2 linked regions of the Mus musculus genome follow. The protein of the gene in region 2 binds, or shares a complex with, the protein of the main gene of each other region. Links are inferred from orthologs where the notes say so. Each region holds a gene or a part of one and is shown on either strand. Other genes may lie near its edges.

Evidence for each region. Proteins that work in one complex are often made in the same cells at the same time.
Region 1: Gemin4 (region 2) and Gemin2 share a complex: the UniProt entries of both Homo sapiens proteins name them as parts of the SMN-Sm complex. The link is inferred for Mus musculus from reciprocal best matches to the Homo sapiens genes GEMIN4 and GEMIN2.

The regions. Positions count from the first base shown.
Region 1 is NC_000078.6:59,019,083-59,029,904, forward strand, and holds the end of Gemin2 (gem-associated protein 2), read left to right. Parts: intron 1-1,306; coding exon 1,307-1,351; intron 1,352-2,585; coding exon 2,586-2,654; intron 2,655-5,920; coding exon 5,921-6,031; intron 6,032-7,772; coding exon 7,773-7,831; intron 7,832-8,654; coding exon 8,655-8,694; 3' UTR 8,695-9,388; downstream 9,389-10,822. UniProt on the Homo sapiens protein: The SMN complex catalyzes the assembly of small nuclear ribonucleoproteins (snRNPs), the building blocks of the spliceosome, and thereby plays an important role in the splicing of cellular pre-mRNAs.
Region 2 is NC_000077.6:76,209,119-76,219,401, forward strand, and holds Gemin4 (gem-associated protein 4), read right to left. Parts: upstream 8,455-10,283; 5' UTR 8,370-8,454; coding exon 8,360-8,369; intron 5,593-8,359; exon of another isoform or gene 5,138-5,592; intron 4,826-5,137; exon of another isoform or gene 4,806-4,825; coding exon 1,639-4,805; 3' UTR 1,453-1,638; downstream 1-1,452. Other genes in the region: Dbil5 (diazepam-binding inhibitor-like 5), read left to right, coding at 9,154-9,417. UniProt on the Homo sapiens protein: The SMN complex catalyzes the assembly of small nuclear ribonucleoproteins (snRNPs), the building blocks of the spliceosome, and thereby plays an important role in the splicing of cellular pre-mRNAs.

The DNA.
Region 1 (10,822 bases), on a different chromosome or scaffold from region 2:
TTGCTGGGATTTGAACTCAGGACCTTCGGAAGAGCAGTCAGCGCTCTAACCCACTGAAACATGTTGCCAGCCCTAGAAAACCCTTGTTTTTGTTTTGTTTTGTGTTTTTTGTCTTCTTGTCAGATAGGGACTCACTGTGTAACCCTGGCTGGCCTGGAACTCCTGTGTAGACCAGGCTGGCCTGGAACTCCTGTGTAGACCAGGCTGGCCTCAAACTCAGAGATCCTCCTGCTTCTGTTTTCTGAGTGCTGGGAGTCATACCTGGCCCAATTAGGAAATTTTTAGAGTAATTAATACATATCCTTCACATGAAATCTTGAGAGTATATTTTAGTTTTTGGTGACTTTGTGGAGGACATTGAGACAGTCCTAGCCAGGCTGGCCTATAAGTCACTGTGTAAGCCAGAATGACCTGACTTCAAATCCTCATGATACCACACCCAAACCATGTGCGTAGCTACTATAGCCGTACATGTTGTGCCTAACTCCTTGTTCTTCACGATTGACCTGCATCTAAGTTTGAAGGTACCTCCATCACACGCGTTGTAAGTGCCAGCAGACGGCTCAGTGCCTTCAAGCCTGACAACTTGAGTTCAGTCACCAGAACCCACATGGTAGAAAAAGTCCATGGAGAAAGTCAACTCCTGAAGATAGTCCTTCCATGTACACACACATACACACACAGTCACAGAGATACATGAAATTTTTAAAAATCACTCAGTGATCCTCCTGCCTCAGTCTCACAAGTACTGAGTGCTAAGATTACAACCACCATTGCCTGGTTAAGAATATGATTTTAATAAATAAAATTTTTAAAGTATGAAATGTTTTAAAATGCTACTTAAAAACATTAGCTTTCTTTCATTTGAAGCAGTTTTATATATTCTACAATAGCAAGCCAAGTGAATAACAGTTTATAAGAGAGTCGAGTGAGGAGGCAAGCACACATGCTTTGTACCTACAGAGGCTACACAGGGGCATTAGATCCCAGGAGCTGGTGTCTCAGGTGATTTGAGAGCCACCTGTATGAGTGCTGGGACCTGAACTTGGGTTAGCAAATAGCCTTCACTGCTGAGCCATCTCTCCAGCCACTTTTCCTCTTATTTATTTGTTTATGTTCCCCACAGTACCAAGACTTAAGTCCAGTGTCTAACTCATACTCGCCAAGTGCTCTATCACAGAGCTAGATCCCTAGCCCTTGGGTTTTTTCTGTCTTTTATTTGGCAAGAAACTTACCAGTTTGCACAGAAGTAAATGAAGCCCCTCTTGTGTTGTCATTTAGTAAATACCTTTTTTTTTTTTTCCAGGTTGGTTTTCCTCCTTTGCTTAGTATTGTAAGCAGAATGAATCAGGTAATTGTCACCAAATAATACATACAGTCTTTTGCTTACAGTGCATATGAAAGGGTTTGAATCTACTTACCCAGTGTTTACAGCCTTATCCTAGGCCTTCAGTGATTCGGATTACGTTTTAGTGTAGGAAATTAATGTTAATAGCTGTGTCTTATAGCTGAGGAAACAGGATTTCATCATGTAACCAAGAATCCCCTGACAGTGGAGCTTGTGTTCCTGACATGGTACTAAGTCTTCATTTGTGTACATTCCAATTATAAGCGCTAAGTCTGCATCCAAAGCTCACTAAGTAAGGCCAAGACACAATTCCAGTTGTAAAGGGCCTGCCTCGGCCTGCAGTCTCTGAAAACTGATAACTTACTGGACCAAAGCGGGAAACAAATGGGATTTCATTCTTCAGTCTTTGAGGAATAGAGACTTTTTAATGTTCAGCAGTGAAGCCGGTTAGTGCATGTCTTTAATCCCAGCACTCAGAGGCAGCGGCAGGTGTGTCTCTGCGTTTGAGGCCAGCCTGGTCTACATATCAAGCTCCAGCATATCGAGGTCTCTGTCTCAGAAAGGAAAGACGTACTTATAGTTAAGGTCTCTTATTGAGTTTTCTATTAACATTTAAGGAAGGAAATATTCTGAAGCATTGATAATTTCATTTCTATAATTTTCAAACATCCTTCTCTAGCCAAGTTTGTTTCTCCTGAGATTTGGTTTTCTGGTTAATCTGAATTGGTAAGTAGACTGAAGGGTCTTTTGTAGGAGTGTTTGAAATTTTTCAGTAGTTACAAACTACTTTTTAAGCCTAAGATTTAAAGCCTAAGTTTTATACTTCAGAGTATAAAAATATTTCTCTTAAAGGATTTTATAGCCATGTATGCAGACTCATGCCTGTAATAGTAGCACTCCAGAGGCAAAGGCAGGAGGATGGCCACAAGTTCAAGGCCAGTCTGCTCCATATTGTGAATTCGGGCAGACCAGGGATACAAAGTGAGACACTGTCTCAAGAAACAAAACAAAAAGCCAGTTGCTATGTGTAAGCCATCTAATGAAATTACTCCTTACTCATGGTGTCAAGAACAAAGACATTTTAACCCTCAGAGCTGCTTTTTAACCGCAGTTACTTGAACTCATGTTGAACTTCTCAGTATTTTACCGCTAATGTCACTGTTTCCTGCCCCGCCTCTCCCTCCCTCCTTTCCTTCTTCCACCCCACCCCCACCCCCATCCTTGTCTCTTTTTAAAGACAACCATTACTAGTGTCTTGGAATATCTAAGTAATTGGTTTGGAGAAAGAGACTTTACTCCAGAATTGGTAAGATTGCATCTTTTTCTTTTCATTATATAGGCAAAATTACATTTACTTATGTGAGGTGTGACTGCAGGTTTTTTTGTTTTTGTTTTTGCAGGGGTTTTTTTTTAAGATTTATTTCCTATTATATCTAAGTACACTGTAGCTGTCTTCTGACACACCAGAAGAGGGCTTCAGAACTCATTACAGATGGTTGTGAGCCACCATGTGGTTGCTGGGATTTGAACTCAAGACCTCTGGAAGTGTAGTCAGTGCTCTTAACCACTGAGCCATCTCTCCAGGCCCCGTGACTGCAGTTTTTATACTTGTGGGTGGGGGGGTGGGTGCATGCGCACGCACACATATAAGTATTCATGTGTTCTGCATATAAAATTCAAATCTTGTATATAAATGTATTAGTCAGGGTTCTCTAAAGTCACAGAACTTATAGGTCGTCTCTATATAGTAAAGGAATTTGTTGATGACTTACAGTCTACAGTCCAACTCCCAACAATGGTCAGCAGCAGCTGTGAATGGAAATTCAAGGATCTAGCAGTTGCTCAGTCCCACATGGCAAACTGTCAAAGAAGGGAGAAAGCCTTCCTTCTTCCAATGTCCTTATGTAGTTCTCCAGCAGAAGGTGTAGCCCAGATTAAAAGTGTGTGCCACCACACCTTTAATCCCAGATGACCTTGAACTCAGAAACTTCTACCTCCCAGCCTCCAGATTAGGATCTATGGTGAGCCTTCCAATTCTGGATTGTAGTTCATTCTAGATATAGTCAAGTTGACAACCAGGAATAGCCACTACAATAAGTAAGGACCTTATACCAGAAGATAAGTCAATATATTCTCCTCCTTGAGAAAGCCATAGAGACTGGGAATGTCATGACATCCACCTGTAAATTGCAGTTCTTGAGAAGCGGACACAGGAGTGTGAGGGCAGCCTTAGCTTCATAGTGAATTGCAGCTCATCCTAGGCTGCAGAAGATCTTGTCTCAAAAGTAGAAACAAGCCGGGCAGTGGTGGCATATGCCTTTAATCCCAGCACAGGTAGATTTCTGAGTTCAAGGCCAGCCTGGTCTACAGAGTGAGTTCCATGACAGTCAGGGCTACACAGAGAAACCCTGTCTTGGAAAGCCAAAAAAAAAAAAGAAAGAAACAAGGAGCAAACAATAGTAGATAATACTATTAGATAGATAATAATTATTAGTAGATAATAATGCATTGAATGCATTATTCTACAACCATTTTATACAATTCTTCACTAACTAAGCCCCCTTTTACAGGTAATAAAATATAGCTGAGTTAGTAGATTGTTTATAGTCACACAGTCTGTCAGAGGCAGACTGTATAACTTTACTTGGGGTTTTCTCATCCACTTTTTAAAAATGGAGTTGGAGTTTATTAAAGATAATTTAATACAAAATTTAAGCACGGACATTAAAGGAAAAACTTTCTAAAGAAAATTAAGGCACACCAGGAACCTGGGTGTGGTCTTCTCTGAGAGCCACCCTTTCACATCCTCAGGCAGGTGTAGCACATGAACCTGCAATCCTAGAACTGGGTAGGCAAGGGCGGGCAAATCACGTGAGTTCAAGGCCAGCCTGGGCTACAGAGCAAGCCTGAGTGAGGCCAGCTAGGACTACGAAGAAGGCCCTATCTTAGTAAAAACAAGTTTTAATATTTTTTCATGAGATGATACACATTAAAATCAATGCTACTGATTTTGCCCTAGGGTCAGACCCGTCTTTCACATAGTTTTAATCATCTTATATATTGTAACATCCTGAATAGCAAACATTTCAAAAATCAGAAATTTTAGCTAGATGACAAAGACAAGAAATGTTTCTTTCGGGCTGGTGAGATGGCTCAGTGGGTAAGAGCACCCGATTGCTCTTCCGAAGGTCCAGAGTTCAAATCCCAGCAACCACATGGTGGCTCACAACCATCTGTAACGAGATCTGATTCCCTCTTCTGGAGTGTCTGAAGACAGCTACAATGTACTTACATATAATAAATAAATAAATCTTTAAAAAAAAAAAAAAAGAAATGTTTCTTTCTATTTTCTTAATATTCTTAACATTTTTATGTATAAACTATTACTACTTTTATATTTTGTAATTGAAATAGCATTCAAGAGTATTCCTACAGATAGCCCCAGAATATTGTGGGGTTTTTTTCAATGTTTATTTATTTATTTTTAATGTGCCTGCATATATGTCTGTGAAGGTGTTGAATCCCTCTGGAACTGGAGATATAGCTAGGTGCAAGCTGCCATGTGGGTGCTAGGAACTGATCTCTGGTCCTCAAAAGAGCAACCAGTGCTCTTAACGACTGAGCCGTCTCTCCAGCCCCCAGGTTGTGGGCTTTTTTTTTTTTTTTTTTTTTTTTAAGGAAGGGGTATTCACTTCGGCTCAGGTCCAGGGTCCTCATTCCCATGCTGCCTGGCTCCATTGTTCCTGGCTACACAGAGCGTCATGAAGGAAGGGACAAGCAGGTGCTTTACAGTGACCCTCAGCCCTCAGTTACTACTGCATTTCCAGACACAGTCTCAGTAAATTGGTCAGGCTGGCCTTGAACTTGTAGACCTCCTGTCTCAACCTCCCAAGACTCTAGCACTACACGTCCACCAAACCTAGCAATTTAGAGTTTTGCTTATATACCTTTAGCTTTATAAATCTTTAATCGTAGCACCCTAGAGGCAGAGACAAACATCTCTGAGCTGAAGACTAGCCAGAGATACATGAGACTCTGTCTCAAAAAAACTCAGAACATTTTTGCTTATAATAGAGAATCTCAGGACAAGGCATTCACGAGGCAGAGCAATAGATTTCTGTGAGTTCCAGGCCAGCCAGGGCTATGCAGTAAGACCCTGTCTCAAAAAGGTGTGGGAGGGGGACTAGAGAGATGGCTCAGAGAGTAAAAGCACTAGCTGTTCTTCCAGAGGTCCTGAGTTCAATTCCCAGCAACCACATGATGGCTCACAACCATCTGTAATGGGGTCCGATGCCTTCTAGCCTGCAGGCAAAATGTTATATACCAAATAAGGGAAGCGAGGACCTCAATTGTAGTACAAATATAGACATAAGTTCATTGGGAATCAGGAACTATTTTGAAGTATGTAGTGGCCTAGGTCTGTGGTTAGAAAACAAAAGTATTCACCTCTCTAGACACTGCCTTGATTCATTTGTAGCGGGTAAGCAGGTAACACCATCGAGCATGTAGAAAAACACAATAAATGGGTTCTTCATTGTTTGTCTATTAATCACTTCTTAAATTTTTTCTTAGGGAAGATGGTTTTATGCTTTGTTGGCTTGTCTTGAAAAGCCTTTATTACCTGAGGCTCATTCACTAATCCGACAGCTTGCAAGAAGATGTTCTGAAGTGAGGCTGCTGGTGGTGAGTTATACTGTACTATTTCAGAGTCTGTCTACTATGGTAGAAAAGAAGATATATGAGATAAAAAAAAATGTGGAATGTTATTAGTTGGGATTAAGGAGTCTACAGAAACAAAAAACTCAAATAGAGTATATTAAATAACAAAACTAGATATGGTGGCACATGACTGTAATTCAGCATCTAGGAGATGGAAAGGGGAGTATTGCAGTTCAAGTGCAAACTGGGCAATAGCAGAAAAGACCTTCTCTAGAAAGGGGGGAGGCCAAGCATGATGATGTGCATCTTCAATCCCAGCACATGGAGGGCAGAGGCCTCGCTGGGAGGCCAACCAAGGCTACATAGTAAGAACCTTATCTCAAGAAAATAGTATGGGGCAGGGGGACAATGAAGTTTGTTTCTCTCCAGTAAAGGAAGTCTGAAGGTCCAGACGAGATCTAACATGACAAGATCCTAGTCATTGGTTCTGCTGTTATGACTTCATCCTTCTCTTAGTTTATTTTTGTTGCTGTAGCGGAATACCTGAAGCTGCTGTTTATAAGCACAGAGGAATTGAGTCAGGACCTTGACTATGCTAGGAAAACCCTCTATCCAGTTTACAAAGAAATTGATTTTAGTTCAGTTTTGAGAGCTCAAAATACAAGCTCAAAGGCCCCGTCTGGTCTACCTTATATTTATATCATCCTTTTAGGGAGGATCATCTACCAGGAGTAAGCTAAGGGCAGTTCCTGGCTGACGTTCAAGAGGGGAAGTGTCAAACTCACTCTATTTAAACCCTCAGTTTCCATAAAACTACAACCCTTGAAAACGGCAATACAGCCGGGCATGGTGGCACACCCCTTTAATCCCAGCACTTGGGAGGCAGAGGCAGGTGAATTTCTGAGTTTGAGGCCAGCCTGGTCTACAGAGTGAGTTCCAGGACAGCCAGGGCTATACAGAGAAACCCTGTCTCGAAAAACCAAAAAGAAAAAAGAAAACAGCATTATAAGTCCTTCAGAACAGCATTATTCTCTAAATAGTGATCTTAGGCTGGTGATTTGAGTTTGATCCCTCCAAACACACACACACCAAACACACATACTAAATAGAAACGTAATTTAAAAATAAAGAGATTGTAGCTGGGGCTGTAGCATTGTTAATCACAATGCTCACCCAGGATGCACAAAGCTCAAGGTTCTAAACACAGTACTGCATAGTTCAAGTGTGGGACCCCAAGCCTGTCAGCACTGAGGAAGCAGAGGCAGAGGACCAAGGACAGCCTGGTGACTACTTAGGAATTTTGAGGCCTGGCTGGGATACATGAAACATTGCCCCAGAATAAAACAAGGGGCCTCTTATAAGTAACTAATAAACCCTGGTATCTGGGACCTCCCTACCCCCAAGTGGTTGTCCTTAAAGTCATATGCATACAAGGAATCATATATGCACTGAACAGATTATATATTCAAGAGAGAGAGGGCGAGAGAGAGAGAGTGTGTGTGTGTGTGTGTGTGTGTGTTTGTTTGTTTGTTTGTTTGTTTGTTTGTTTTGTGCTGGCCTCAAACTCAGAAGAGAGTCATGATATTGAGAGAGCTAGATTGGAGAGAGGAAATTTGGGACCAGGGAAAGTGATCTATTTATATTTTAATTTTATAAATGAAAGATGGGCAGGTGAGAAACCCTGTCTCAAAAAACCAAAAGAAAAAAAAAAAGAAAGAAAGAAAATACTTATGGAAAAAAAAAATAGCCTTTTTCTATTTTTCAGGGCAGTAAAGATGACGAAAGAGTCCCAGCTTTGAATCTGCTGATCTGCTTAGTTAGCAGGTGAGTTAAGAAATTTAACTTCATGTTTTTCCTTGTTATCAGTAGTAGGCAGAACATGTTTAATGCTGTGTTAATTTTCATTTGCTGTGTATTTTTATCTAGTATGTTTGATTACATTTCCTTTTGTCTTTTAATCTGTACTGGATGGAACCTGTACCTGTCAGGCAGGGAGTCTACCAACCAAGCTCTATCTCGTTCCTTCTATCAAAGTTCCTGCTGAATTGATTTGAAAATACAGCCTGTATCTAAGGAAAGGCACACATTGATTTTAGGTCTCTTCCTGGACATGCTTTGCTCATTGATCAGCAGTTTGTTTTGAGGTTTGGTTTGGTTTTGTCTTGCTAACACCTCTCTAAAGCTTCATATTAACTAAATACCCTCAAGTTATCCTTCCCTCCACCAAACAAGATGTATTTTTGAAAATACACACATAGTAAACACCTAGTTCTTGATCTATAATCACTATGTTTAATTTTCCTGGTGCTTTCTTCCAAGCATTTTTCTTAGTGTGTCATAATAGGAACTCATTTAATCCTATACCACCCAGTTTAGAGATGAGAAAACTGGCAAAAGAATGCAAAGTGCCTTTGCTGCTTCCTGAACATCACAGAGCTAGCTAGTGTATGGCAGAGACAGGACCCAAACCTAGGCAGCTTTACAGAAGAGCTCCGCATTCCCCCACACCCTTTGTATGTGTGTGAGTGTTCCCCTGTTGGGTAGATGTGCTGTGGTTTAGTCTTTGTTGAGTCATTGTGTGCTTTTGCTTCTACAAGCAGTGCTGTCCTTGATAAGTGTGCACACACTGAATTCTTTTTCTTACTAGGTATTTTGATCAACGCGATTTAGCTGATGAGCCATCTTGATGGCGCTTACCTCCTAGGGATGGAAGATGATTCTGTGGAAGGAGCCTAAGTCTGAGAAACACAGTTCCAACCTGAGGACAGATTACATCACTTCTTCAAGTTATGTGAAGGGCTTCATCTTAATCTGCAGCTCAAGCTGATATTCAAAATATAGATTTGATTGGTTTAAAGTGTCTGAAATGTCTGTGAAAAAGCCCATTTGGTATCTGATGAGCAATTGGAACAGTTTTCTCTTTTTTTGGGGGGTGGGGGGTGGTGGATATGGAGACAGGGTTTCTCTGTGTAGCCCTGGCTGTCCTGGAACTCACTCTGTAGACCAGGCTGGCCTCAAACTCAGAAATCTGCCTGCCTCTGCCTCCCGAGTGCTGGGATTAAAGGAGTGCGACACCACCGCCGGGCTGGAAGTTTTCTTAAGTTGCATGCATTGAAAAGAGGTCAAGTGTGACTTACTACTTAAGCAGCTTGTATAAAAACTGATGGCATTTTATACAGGCCCCTGGGGCTGCTTCATTGGGTTTTTTTTACAAGTATACATATATATTTATGTTGAAATGTATTTTGTCTATGGAAATTTTTTTGACTCTTGAACAAAATAAAAGACACTGGATGTCTTTAGAGTTGAAGTTCATACAGATGAAATGGCAAATCTGTTCATAGTCGACAAGACTAATCCAGTGTTCATGTTTAAACTCAATAGTTTTAGTTTAATTTCACCACCAAAACTTCTAACAAATCATTTTCAATAATGTTGTAATAAGCAACACATGGTAGTGCACACATAGCATCTTGGGGTTCTAAGCCATTTTGGGATACATAATTAGACTCTACCTCAAAAAAATCCAAGGACTGGAGGTGGAACACCAGTCAGGAGAACTCGCTGCTCGAGAGGACTTGGGTTCAACCTGAACACCTATATAGCAACTGACAACCGCTGAGACATCAGTTCCAGAGGCTCTGACACCTTCTGTCTTCCTGATGTCAGGCATGCACAGGGTCTACATAAAGACAAAACACTTCTGTACAGCGAAGTTAAATCTTCAAATTAACATCTAAAAACAACTGTCCCTAAAGCTTCATGGTTTTGCTGATTTCTTTGGGAGAGGAGGATGCACTGGGGGACTGGTAAACTGTCAGTTATTGGGTGGCTTTTGTTATTTCCACAGCTGGTTGCTGAGCATGAAGTTGTATATGCTACTCGCAGTAAAATTTCTGAATGGATACTATTTAAAAAGCAGTTTAGCTTATGCAAGTATAAGGAATAAAAATATGACCTTAGTGCAGTTCCATCCTTACTAGCACACTAAAGGATTTTTATTGTTGCCAAGACAAGATGGTATTCTTTAGCCAGCGTTGCCTGCAACTCTGTAGCCCAAGATGGCCTCAAGCTTGAATGAATCCATGCCTCAGTTTCCCAAACACTAAAACAACAGTCTGTGTTACCTGAGTTAGCTAGAGGATGTGAACACAATTGTGAAACTGTAACCACAGGCTTTTCCACCCAAGCCCTAGGTGCCTCAGTTCTCAAATAACAACTCAGAGGCTATATTTGATTTAATAAATGCCTGGGCCATAAATAAGCTAGGCTTGTTCCCACTAGATCATAACTTATTTAATCTGTTTATACTAGTCAACATCTACCACATGGCTACTTACCACTCCTCAGTTTCATCTTCCTCCAAAGTCCTGATGGTGGCAAAAATTCCTACCAGAGTTAAATTAGTGTGTGTGTGTGTGTGTGTGTGTGTGTGTGTGTATGCATGCCAGATGTCCCACCTTCTAATCCTGCCTCAGTTTATTGGTCATCAGGTATTTTTTGACAGATGATACTTCACACAGTACATGAGAGATTATCCCTGCAAGAAGCCATTTCAATGAATTAGTTTGGAGCCACCATATCTAGTTTACCTGGAGGATTTTGGACAGAAATGAGAAACCATTTATGTGTTTTAATATGGTATGATAGTGGACCAAATAAGGATATTTGGGTGTTAGAGATAAATAGAAATAAACATTTAGAACCACATGGCCTTTGCACAGTAACCTTGCTGATTGCCTCGGGACTCTAGAACTGTCCCTATTTATCACCCAGCTCCCAGCTTCTCAGAACAACAGAAATGCACTTATTGTG
Region 2 (10,283 bases):
GTGCTGTTTGTTAGCTGTGTGCTGTAGCATGTGGTGTAGCACAGATCATCTCTCACCACAGGCTGGGGTTGAGAGGACCTGCTGCCACTACTTCAGGTGGCAGCAAAAACACTACAGTGCCTTATAATTCACTGTCCATGGACTTCTAAAGGACTGGATGGTTGCATCTCAATTTTTGAGTTTCAGTCTTTAATAGGTGCCATTTAAAAAACATAAAAAATGCTGTTTTGTGTTTTTTTGTTCTGTTTACTGTATCCACAAGTCATCCATATAGTAATTAAATTGCACTAAATTCTCTATTTGTTATGTGCCCTGGCGCCGAATTCCCCAAACATCCGAGACCCAGCCTGACTACCGTTTTCGGTAATTCCTAGTCTGGTCACGGAAGGCAAATGGCCTCTAGGCAGGTCTTACTCATAGTCCAACATGTTGGTTCAAAGTACCAAAGGATACACGGAAGGTGCCCAGAGTTCACGCTCAGTGCTCACATTTAACTTCAGGTTTTCCTTCCTCTGGTGGATCCCAACTAGAAGTTGGGAGGGTGGAAGCCTGCCTGCCTGCCTGCCTGCCTGCCTGCCTGCTGACCACAGTTTCCATTAGGTGGGAGAAGAGTACCAGAGGAGTAAACCATTTTAGATGAGGGTGTGGGTAAGTAGGTGATGGGACCTTTCCTCTCACCTCCCTAAATGATACCTCCCCTAACCAGTTCTAAGAGTTGTGTAACATTGCCCTGGAAACCTTATGCTTTCATTTTTATGCTTCTGTATTGTTGCCTATGCCACTCAGTCATCAAAACCAAAACAATCTCACCCCAGGAAGAAGGTAATTATAGCCACCCTCCAAGGGCACCAGCTATTCAGCAGCCCTGGCTTAGCACCTCTCCCGGATGTGCTGAGGCGATGGTTACTACCCCCTTAACAGTGTTCCTTGGTGCAGGCCTCTTTGGCACAAGTCAACCAGCGCTGAGTGAGCCCCTTTCCACATCTGCCCTTTATGAGATAACCTTGGTAAGAAGATGGAATACAAAAATGCTTGCTAGTAGCCCAGGCTGGCCTTGAACTGAGCCTTCTACTTCAGCTACCCGAATGCTGGGCTTATAAGGATGTACTTCTACCAAGCCTAGTTGAAAAGACTCCACGAGGATGTCACTAAAAAGAACATATAACGTTTCTCCTCCCCCTTACCCCCCACTCGGTAGCTCCAACTTTGGGCTTACTGCCAAAACTAGGTGGAGAATTTCAGTTACAAACATGTTCCTCTCCAGCTGGCCTTTTTTTAACTTTTGGATATTCCTATGCAGTCCAAGTTGCCACCCTCTGCCTGAGCCTCCTGAAGGCTGATGCTACAGGTGTACACTCCCATACCTGTCCTACTGGCTTGACTTGATCTTAAAGACTACCTAAACCTAATTTGGAGCATATTTAAGCCCAAACTTCTGAGAAAGGCTCAAGATAAGATTAAACCCAAGAGAATTTTATTTAAGTAGTATGTGACAAATATCTAAGAAAACTATTTCTTTACACTGCTCTTGTACTCCTTTCACTGTGTACGTTCTTATAACTTTGTTTGTTCTTAGCTCTGGGCCCTGCAGAAACACCACGGTGGACGGAGGCATAGTTTTGTTCTGCCCTCAACAGGTCAGAAGTTGTTGATCTTTTGTAGCAGGGTTTGGCGCCGCTCCTCAGGGCTAATGTTCTTGGCGATAGACTTTAAGAAGCGCTGCTCGTCTACCTTCTGGAGCAAGGAGCTGACAGAAGGGTTGCTTTTGCTTAGAGTCTCGTAGCAGGTAAGGATTTCCAAGGCCAGCACGTAGAGGGGTTCACAGACCTCCTGAGGGAGCATGGCCATGATATGCAGAACATGACAGAACATCTGGGTATAGACAAACAGGGTTTCCTGAGTAAGATCCCCTTCTTGTCCTTGGGCCCAGGGACCCACCGACTGCATCAACCTGACTGCATCCAGGACACTGGTCAGACTGTTACAGAGGAGTTTGACCACATGGCTCCAACCGTCCAAAGGAAGCCAGTTACAACAGCTCTGGCTGCAGAGAAACTGGAACACTCTCAAAGAAAGAACAGAGAGCTGAAGTTCCTGGGCAAAAGGCTTCAGGTTGAGCAGGGGAACAAACTGAATATACTCTAGACTGTAAGGGACATGAAGAAGCTGTTTCTCCAATAGCTTCCTGGTCAGCTGCTGAAGGTACTGCCATTCCTGGGGGCTACACCAAGGCATGACTTGTACCAGGGCCACCAGAAAGCCCTTGCTAAACAGTCTGACCTCCTCAGGATTGCCCACATCCATCACCAGAAGGGAAAGCATCTGGTCAGAGATACTGCTGGAGACTGAACAGCACTCCATCCAGGCGAGAAGGCCCGTGCCAGGCCCATACCCTTCGTGGACCTGTGAGGTCCACTGGGCCTCAGAGAGCTTACAGATATCAAAAAGGGTAGCTGGCACCTCACACTTGAAGTGGCCTTCAAAGAAGTTCTTTAGTCTCAGGCCCACAGTCCAATCTAGCTGGTCTAATTTGCGGTGGAGCCAGGACAGGGACTTGGCCCAGGTGTCTGGGGAGAAGGTTTCTGTGTTGGCTAGCACGATCTCACAGAGGAGTTCCAGAATGTGGGTCACAAGATCCTTGCTGTCCAGCGTGAGGTAGCGCTTCTCCCGGGGGAGCTGCCAGAACTTGCTGAAGCTGTCCAGGAGCTGGCACAGGCTGAAGAGCAGAGGGAATGGGGAGCAGGTCTGCAGCCAATACTCTTCCAGGCCTGCATTGGCTTCGAGGGTCTGGATGAAGAGCTTCAGACTCAGGCCCACCTCCTCCATGTCCAACATCAAGAAAGGCAGGACAAACTCCTTGAGCACCTCATCTGGCTCCAGAAGAGCAGCCACTGGAATCCCCTGTGGCTTCACAGGATTCGTCAGGCAGCTTACCAGCTCCAGAAACTGCTTCTCTTCTTTGGGTGTGGAGAACTTGGTCCAGACAGTTTCTTTGAGGCAAGACACCATGAAACTGGTACATGGATTTGCCCCTTGTTCTTCCGTGAACTTCAGAGCAGGGAAGGCAGTGAGAATCTGAGCCAAGAACCTATGTGTGCCAAGATTGGTCACAGCTAGGCTACACATCTTCTTCACCACAACTTCTGGGTTCAGGATCACCAGGTGGGCCACGGAGGCCACAGCTTTAGCCAGGCCCTGTTCAGAGGTACTCTGTGCGAGCTGGTTAAACGTCGTGTTGAGGTCTTCCTGAAAACCCTCCAAGTAATCAGACAACCTGTCTGAGAGACCCTTTGGCCCCAAATAATGCAGGACACCAGAAAGAACTTTATTTTTGTCTGGAAGAGAGAGGTCTTCATAGCATTCCAGGGTCAAGCAGATTACCTGCTTGATCTGAGGCTGGGGGATAACCCGATCAGAGCTGATGACTTCCATCACTGTTTCTAGCAGACTCAAGACCAAGTCTGGTTCTCTGAAGAGAGACCTGTTGTTAACCAGGCAGGCAACCCACTCGTCTGAAAAGGCCCACTTCTTCTCAGAAGCAAAAATGTAGCACATTTCCATGTGCCGGTCCATCTTCTGCTCAATGATGGCCATGGCAATGGAGGCAGTGATGTCCTCAAGGCCCTTGTCATTCAGCATTCTGCTGGTTTTCCTCAGGAAGTCCCTGACACACTCAGCCAATTCTGAGACCACCTCCCTCTCCTCCTTGGGCATGTTGGTAGTATCCAGGTAGAGCTCCAAGTTCTGGCTGAAGGAAGTCAGGCTGTCACACAGCCGGTAAGTGTCATAATTTGTTCCCTGACTGCTGTTGAGCATGTCCTGCAGTTCTGCACCCCACTCTTGCAGCAGGTTGTACATAAGCTCAAACCCCATGAAAACAGTCTCGCTGGGGAGTTTGGCCAGTGAGGTGAGACTCACATCTCGCTCTGCCTCCTTTACCTTGTCTGCCAGGGCCTGTCGATGGTATGGGTTCTGGGTGTCCGAGTTCCACACAGAGATCACTGTAGCTAGTTTGTCTAGGTACACGGTGGCCGACACCTCCTGGGTGTCATCCTCCAGAAGTGCAAACACACTCAGCATGTCAGCCAAGTTAGCTAAGGCACAGCACTTCATTCCAAGGGACAGGATTCTCTTTTGGATCTGCTTCAGCCCGTTAAGCAACATGGCCAAAAGAGGCATGGTGGGACCCACATCTGGGTCAGACTTAAACCTCTTTGGAGGATGGGAAAACTCATCTGAGGATGGCAAGTATTTATGGGCCATCGTCCTGAACTGGGAAAGCAAGGGGTCCTGCTGGTCGCCCTTGTGCTTCATCATTTCCCACCAGACATCTAAGAAGAAGGCCACATCCTTGGAAGATGTGTCAACAGTCATGTGCTCCAGGAAGCTCTGTAGTTCTGAGCGGCCAATGGTGGTAGGCAAGGCCATTAGCAGCTGAATGAAGAGTCCAGAAGCTTCCAGAGACTTGAGCAGCTCAAAAAGGACTGTGTGGTTGATGGTAGGGATCATGTTGCCCACGGAGAAGAATACATCTTCCTGCCACCGAGTATCAGTGTCAGAAGGGCTGACAGGGGAGGGCTGAAGAACCTTGGTCCAGATGATGATCAGTGCTTTCTTCTTCCAGGCAAAGGGCTGGGAATGTGCTGTGGCTGAGGAGATCTCCTTCAAGGCCTCCACAATGGGCTGTCCCACGTGTTCCCAATCAGACTTGGTCAACTGTACCAGGGCTTTGGGGTGGAACAGCTGCTCAGCCATCAAGAAGCCCCCATGCAGAATAGTCATCTCCTCACAGATATTCAAGGGTCCTGCACAGAGAAGCCAAGAGGTAATGAAGTCATCAGATTAGCGAGAAGCTAGGAGAAGGAAACAGCCATCGGATGGCTATCATTTCGGCTACGGTCTTGACATCAATGGGAGGGGAAGGCATGGTTAGTAAGAGCTCACAAAGGGCTGGGGTCAAAAGGTCTTGGCCGAGGAACAAAAAACCAGTTTCTAAGATCTTTGGCCTGGATATCAGGACAATGGCACCTCTGGAAATAGGAGGCAGAGAGGGATTCAGAACAGGCTTTCAAGTGTTTACAAAATTCTATTTTAATAATGTGTTTGTATCTGTGGGGGTTTGTGCATATGAATGCAGCTTCCACAGAGGCCAGAAGAGGATGCTGGGTCCTCTGGAGCTGGACTGAGCCTACTGGTGTGGTTGCTGAGAACTAAACTCTGGACTTCTACAAGAAACATATGTGCTCTTAACTACAGAGTCATCGCTCGTGGCCCCTCAGGACAAGCTTTAAGGGAAGACAAGTTCAGTGCTGTTACCTAGAGTCTGAGGTAGAACATTTAGTGATGTCCTTCAGCAATGGCAATGCGTGAAGGAGAAAAGGCCTGATGTGAGTGTAGGCAGTACCAACTCGGAGAAGTGCATGAAAATCAAGGAAGTGACTAAGATTCCTCAGCAAAGTGTGAAGAGGACAACTGGACTGCTGAGGTTACAGTGAGTAGAGGATAGGGGACAGTGCTACCACATATGCATTAAAGACATGACAGAGGCCAGCAGCATGGCTCATGATTAAAGATATCTGCCACCAAGCTTGATGACCTGAGTTTGAGCCCTAGAACTGATATGGTAACCTCTACAAGCTGTCTTCTGACTGACACTTGTGCACCGTGGTATCCACACATACACACCAAGAATGTAATTAAAAAACAAACAAACAAAAAACCTAAACAAAACTGAGTCCAGTGATGGCAGACTATGGAAGATACAATAGGTAGTCTTTGGGGGATGGGAGGTGCTTATTGTCTTAGTGTTTTTGGTTGTTTCTGAGACAGGGTCTCATTATGAACTGGATAGCTTTGAACTCAGATCTGTCTGCCTCTACATCCTGAGTGCTGAGATCAAAAGCCTGTGCCACCACACTCAGTTAAGCCTGTTTTTGAACTCAGAGCCTTGCATGTAACAGGCAAGCACTCTACCACTGAGCTGTATCCGGAGCCCTGCCTTCCTTCTTTCTAAGCACACTCCTGCTTCAACAAGTTTCAACATTCTGTGCCTTACAGGGAAAAAGTTCACCCAGCAGTTTCTTCCAGTCAAAAAGGACAAGCTGGTGAAGGTTCTGGCTCTGTGGTAGGAACCAGGAAGTGGACAAAACAAATATTACATCAAGACAGCGGTCACTCATTCACTGAGTTAAGAACTGACATTTAAAGGGAGGCCATGTGGGGGTTTAATCAAGATAATGGATTCAAATCCTAACTCAGTTGTTAAAACATGATGTGACTTTACACTTTACTGAGTCTCCCGTCTGCATACATGAGAATATATGTATGCATATATACATGAGACTATAATCTTCATGGTATGGGAACCACATGACACAGGACATACACTAATCACACTTTTGTAACTATTCTGGTATTGTTACCTTTTTGAAGCATCTCCCAGGTATGGAAGAATTGGATGGGTTATATAAGCTATCTTAACCATAATCAGACCATCAAGAGCCTGATTTAAATGCTCAAGTGTTGGCAGGACTAGTCTTGTCAATATTTTGTCTCCTCCAGTGCAGAAACAGACGGGCACAGGTCTTTCCCAAAGTGTATAATCTGGCCTAGAAGCTGAGTGCAACACCTTGTCACGGTCACTGCTAGCTCTCTCCTCAGTCCTCTATGCTCCCAGAAACACATCTGCCCTATTCTCATAGGCCAGAGTCGGCAGCAAAAGTACTGACTCCAGTGAACAGCTGTGGTGGCCTATCCCGTTAGTCCCAGCTCTCTAGTGATGCAGATTTTTATGAGGCAAGCCTGGTCCACGTACTGAGTTTCAGGCTAGCCAAGGCTACATCATGGCTACCATCTCAAACTTCTCCTACCCCCAGGGAAAAAAAAAAATTACTGACACCAGGCAACTAAAAAATCTCCTGGCCACTAACCATTTACTGTCACTGCCTGCCCACCCCAAATCAAGGCTCAGCACTCCCACAAAACCCAGACCTGAAGGCAATCCAGGGTTCTTTCTGTCTCAGGTTGGTCTGCCGGCCCCCGAACACATTTCCTTATAACTGTAAATGACATTTTATTGCATTAGACATCGGCTTAGCAGAGCAAATGTCTGCGGCCAAACATGTGCCTTTCAGAGACTGTGTACATGTGGCTTGAGAAAAGTCCCAGACTCAGCTCATAGCCAGGGGAAACTCAAAGGCTTTTTTTTTTTTTTTTTTTTTTAAATCAGTAGCTGGTGCTAGGAAGTGACTGGTTACTTTGGTAGGCACTGTGCTGGGTGGCATACTTGTATTTTTTTCTGAGATAGGCTCTTGTTATATAGCTGGAACTGGCTTGAAACTATACAGACCAGGTCGGCCTAGAATTTTGAGATCCTCCTGCCTCTGCTTCCAGAGTGCTAGTTAGACATAAGCTACCACACCCAGCTTGACACCTATAAAAATCATGTAATCGTCAAACTAACTTCTTGAGGATTATAACTCCTGTTTTGGAGATGGGAAGCTAGAGGCCCAGGCACAACTTTGCAAGGTGTCTCAACTAGGGAGTCAAGCCTTGGCAGCACTCTTCACAGCTGCAGGGCACGAAACTACCATTCCACACTAAAGAGCTGGCTAGGGACAAAGACATTTCTCCACAGCGTATTATTTGCAAATCTTGGAGTACTTCCCAGGACGGCCTCCTAGTCTTACCCTCTAAAGAGCACACCTAGCAGGGTGGAGAGGGTTGGCAGATGGCCACAGATTTCTATCAACTCCGCCTTACTTCCAGACCTCGCCTAGGAGGATACTCCAAACCAAGCAGCACTCGAATTCGGATTCAAAAAGTGAAATCTCAGGCTGCGCAACTCCTGCTCACAAGAGAGGGGTGGGGGTGGGGTGGTCGCTTTGCGTGAGTCAACGAATGGGGTCCTGTTATGCACGTGGTCGCAAAGAAAACGCCAAGCCTCTGGGAGAAAGACAGTATCAGTATTTTTGCTTTATGCACTAGGCGACCTAATAAGAAACATGTTCACTAACTCGGCAGTCATTTAATAACGAAGAACTCTCCGGACGTCCGTCCCTCCCAGCCCGGCATTTCCGAAACACGTGCAGTAGCCCTGAGCATTTCCAGGAGAATCAAGGCTATATTCGCTCCCGGTTTCCCACTGGGAAGACACTACGAAGGACGGAGGAGGACTCTAGGAGACCGTCATGTGGTGGGGCTACAGGATGGAGGCCGGCCTCGCGACTGCGGGTCCCCCAAAACTCCTCAAGCCCCCAGCCTCCCGAGCACCGTAGGAGCAGTGCAGAGCCTCAGCCTGCCCAGGAGGTGCTTTGGGGGGGTGCGGCCCAGGGGCCGGAGTAGGGAAGTGGGAACCCACCTAGGTCCATGGCGGCGACGCTGGCGGCGGGCTAGACCGCCCCTCCTAGTCCAAGGCCGCGAACGCGTTGCCCGCGCCACGGCACAAAGGGCGGCGCTACAGGCGCGTCACAGGCTCCGCCCACAGCGCTTCTCCGCTTCCGTGCTGTAGTCTGCTAGCCGCTGCCGTTCAAGGCGCACGCGTACTCCTCTCCAACAAGCTCGCAGCGTCGAAGCCACCCTAGCCACAGCGCCCCCTCTCGGCCTAGGCTTCCCAGCCTTCTTAACCACAGGTACTGTTGGCTGTCTCCATGTGGAACCTGACCCCTTCAGGCAAGGAGGTCGAACCCCTTAGTCCAGACCCCTCATTCACCCTCACTCAGGAACCCCGGGCAGCTCTCGCCCCGGATTCACCCACATGGAATAACTTTCCTTCAGCTGTGTACTAACCAGCAGCGGATCCACGGGATTCATCCCCCCCCCCCCCAAGACACACAAAACTCCCTATATGCTTGCTTTTCATGCTGCACTATCTCCTATAGGCAACAGCAGAGTCAACTTTCAGAGCTCATAGGTGCTTTTATAACTTTGAAGGGCAGTCACACTGGAAAAAGCTCTGCGGGGCAGGAGCAATTGAATGGATTCCTGGTCCTCGATTTGTACGTTATTAAACACACAAACGCCCCGTGTTCATCCCACACATTATCTCTTTACCCCTTCTTTCCAAGGCCTAACAATAACATGGTTTGCTTATTTCCAACTTTCTTCTAGTACCCCGCATCACTTAAAAACAGAAGCATTGCCTCTGGTATACCAATGAGCCAAGTGGAGTTTGAAATGGCCTGTGCTTCACTCAAGCAGCTGAAGGGGCCTGTGAGTGATCAGGAGAAACTGCTGGTGTACAGCTTTTACAAACAGGCCACCCAGGGCGACTGTAACATCCCTGTCCCTCCTGCCACAGATGTGAGAGCAAAGGCCAAATATGAGGCCTGGATGGTAAACAAAGGGATGTCCAAGATGGATGCCATGAGGATCTACATTGCTAAAGTGGAAGAGCTGAAGAAAAAGGAGCCATGCTAAGAGCATTTTGGCAGACACAAGGAAGTAGCATGGCTCCACTGGTAGGGGACGGGTTTAAGATTCCTGATGGCTGAAACACACTGAAAGGGTAGCAGCGTTAGCAGAAACACCAATAAATCATTCAAACTGCATGAGAGTGGAGTCTGTGGCAAAAGAGAAACTTTGAGGGTCCTGGAGAAGTATTTAGATGTGTAGAAGCCTCTCTCTGCTGGGTGAAACTCCATTAATCTGCCTTTCTGTGGTCTGACTGGCATTAATAGTCTTCCCAGTTCCACAATGTGTGTGGATATTTGGCAGAAGAGCAAAGAGGTGGGGTGAATCATGCTATTAAAATAACCAGGGGTGGGGGCTTGGATCTGTATTATCAGGGGTTATCAACACACCAAGAACCCAACAGTACAGAGGAGAAAGGGGCTCTGCCTTCTAAAGAGCTAAAGACAAATAGAAAAGCCCTCACCTAGAACACAGGTCCAGAGAAGTTAGGATTTTGATGGAACTCAAACTTTGAGTGACATGGTGAAGTGGGTCATGCATCACGCACAGCAGCTGAGGGACAGGGAAGAAGGGTGGCCTCAGCATCTCAGTGCCTGAAAGAATCACCTAAGCCTTAGCAACCTAAATGTTCTTAACCTAGGTTTCTGCTTGGGGCCCAGTGATGGACGGACACACACATGCACACGCACATGAACGTACGCACGTGTGGCTCATGTAAGTGCCGGTGTCCATCACTACAGAGGCATCAGTGTGCTAAAATTGTGCCCAGAAGTTGGCAAATGAAGTGTTAAAGTAGAATTCTTAACTTCGTGGTAGCATGGTAGTATGTGTCTTGTCTGAAGCAAGCAGTACTTGCCTGGCACCAGGGTTTG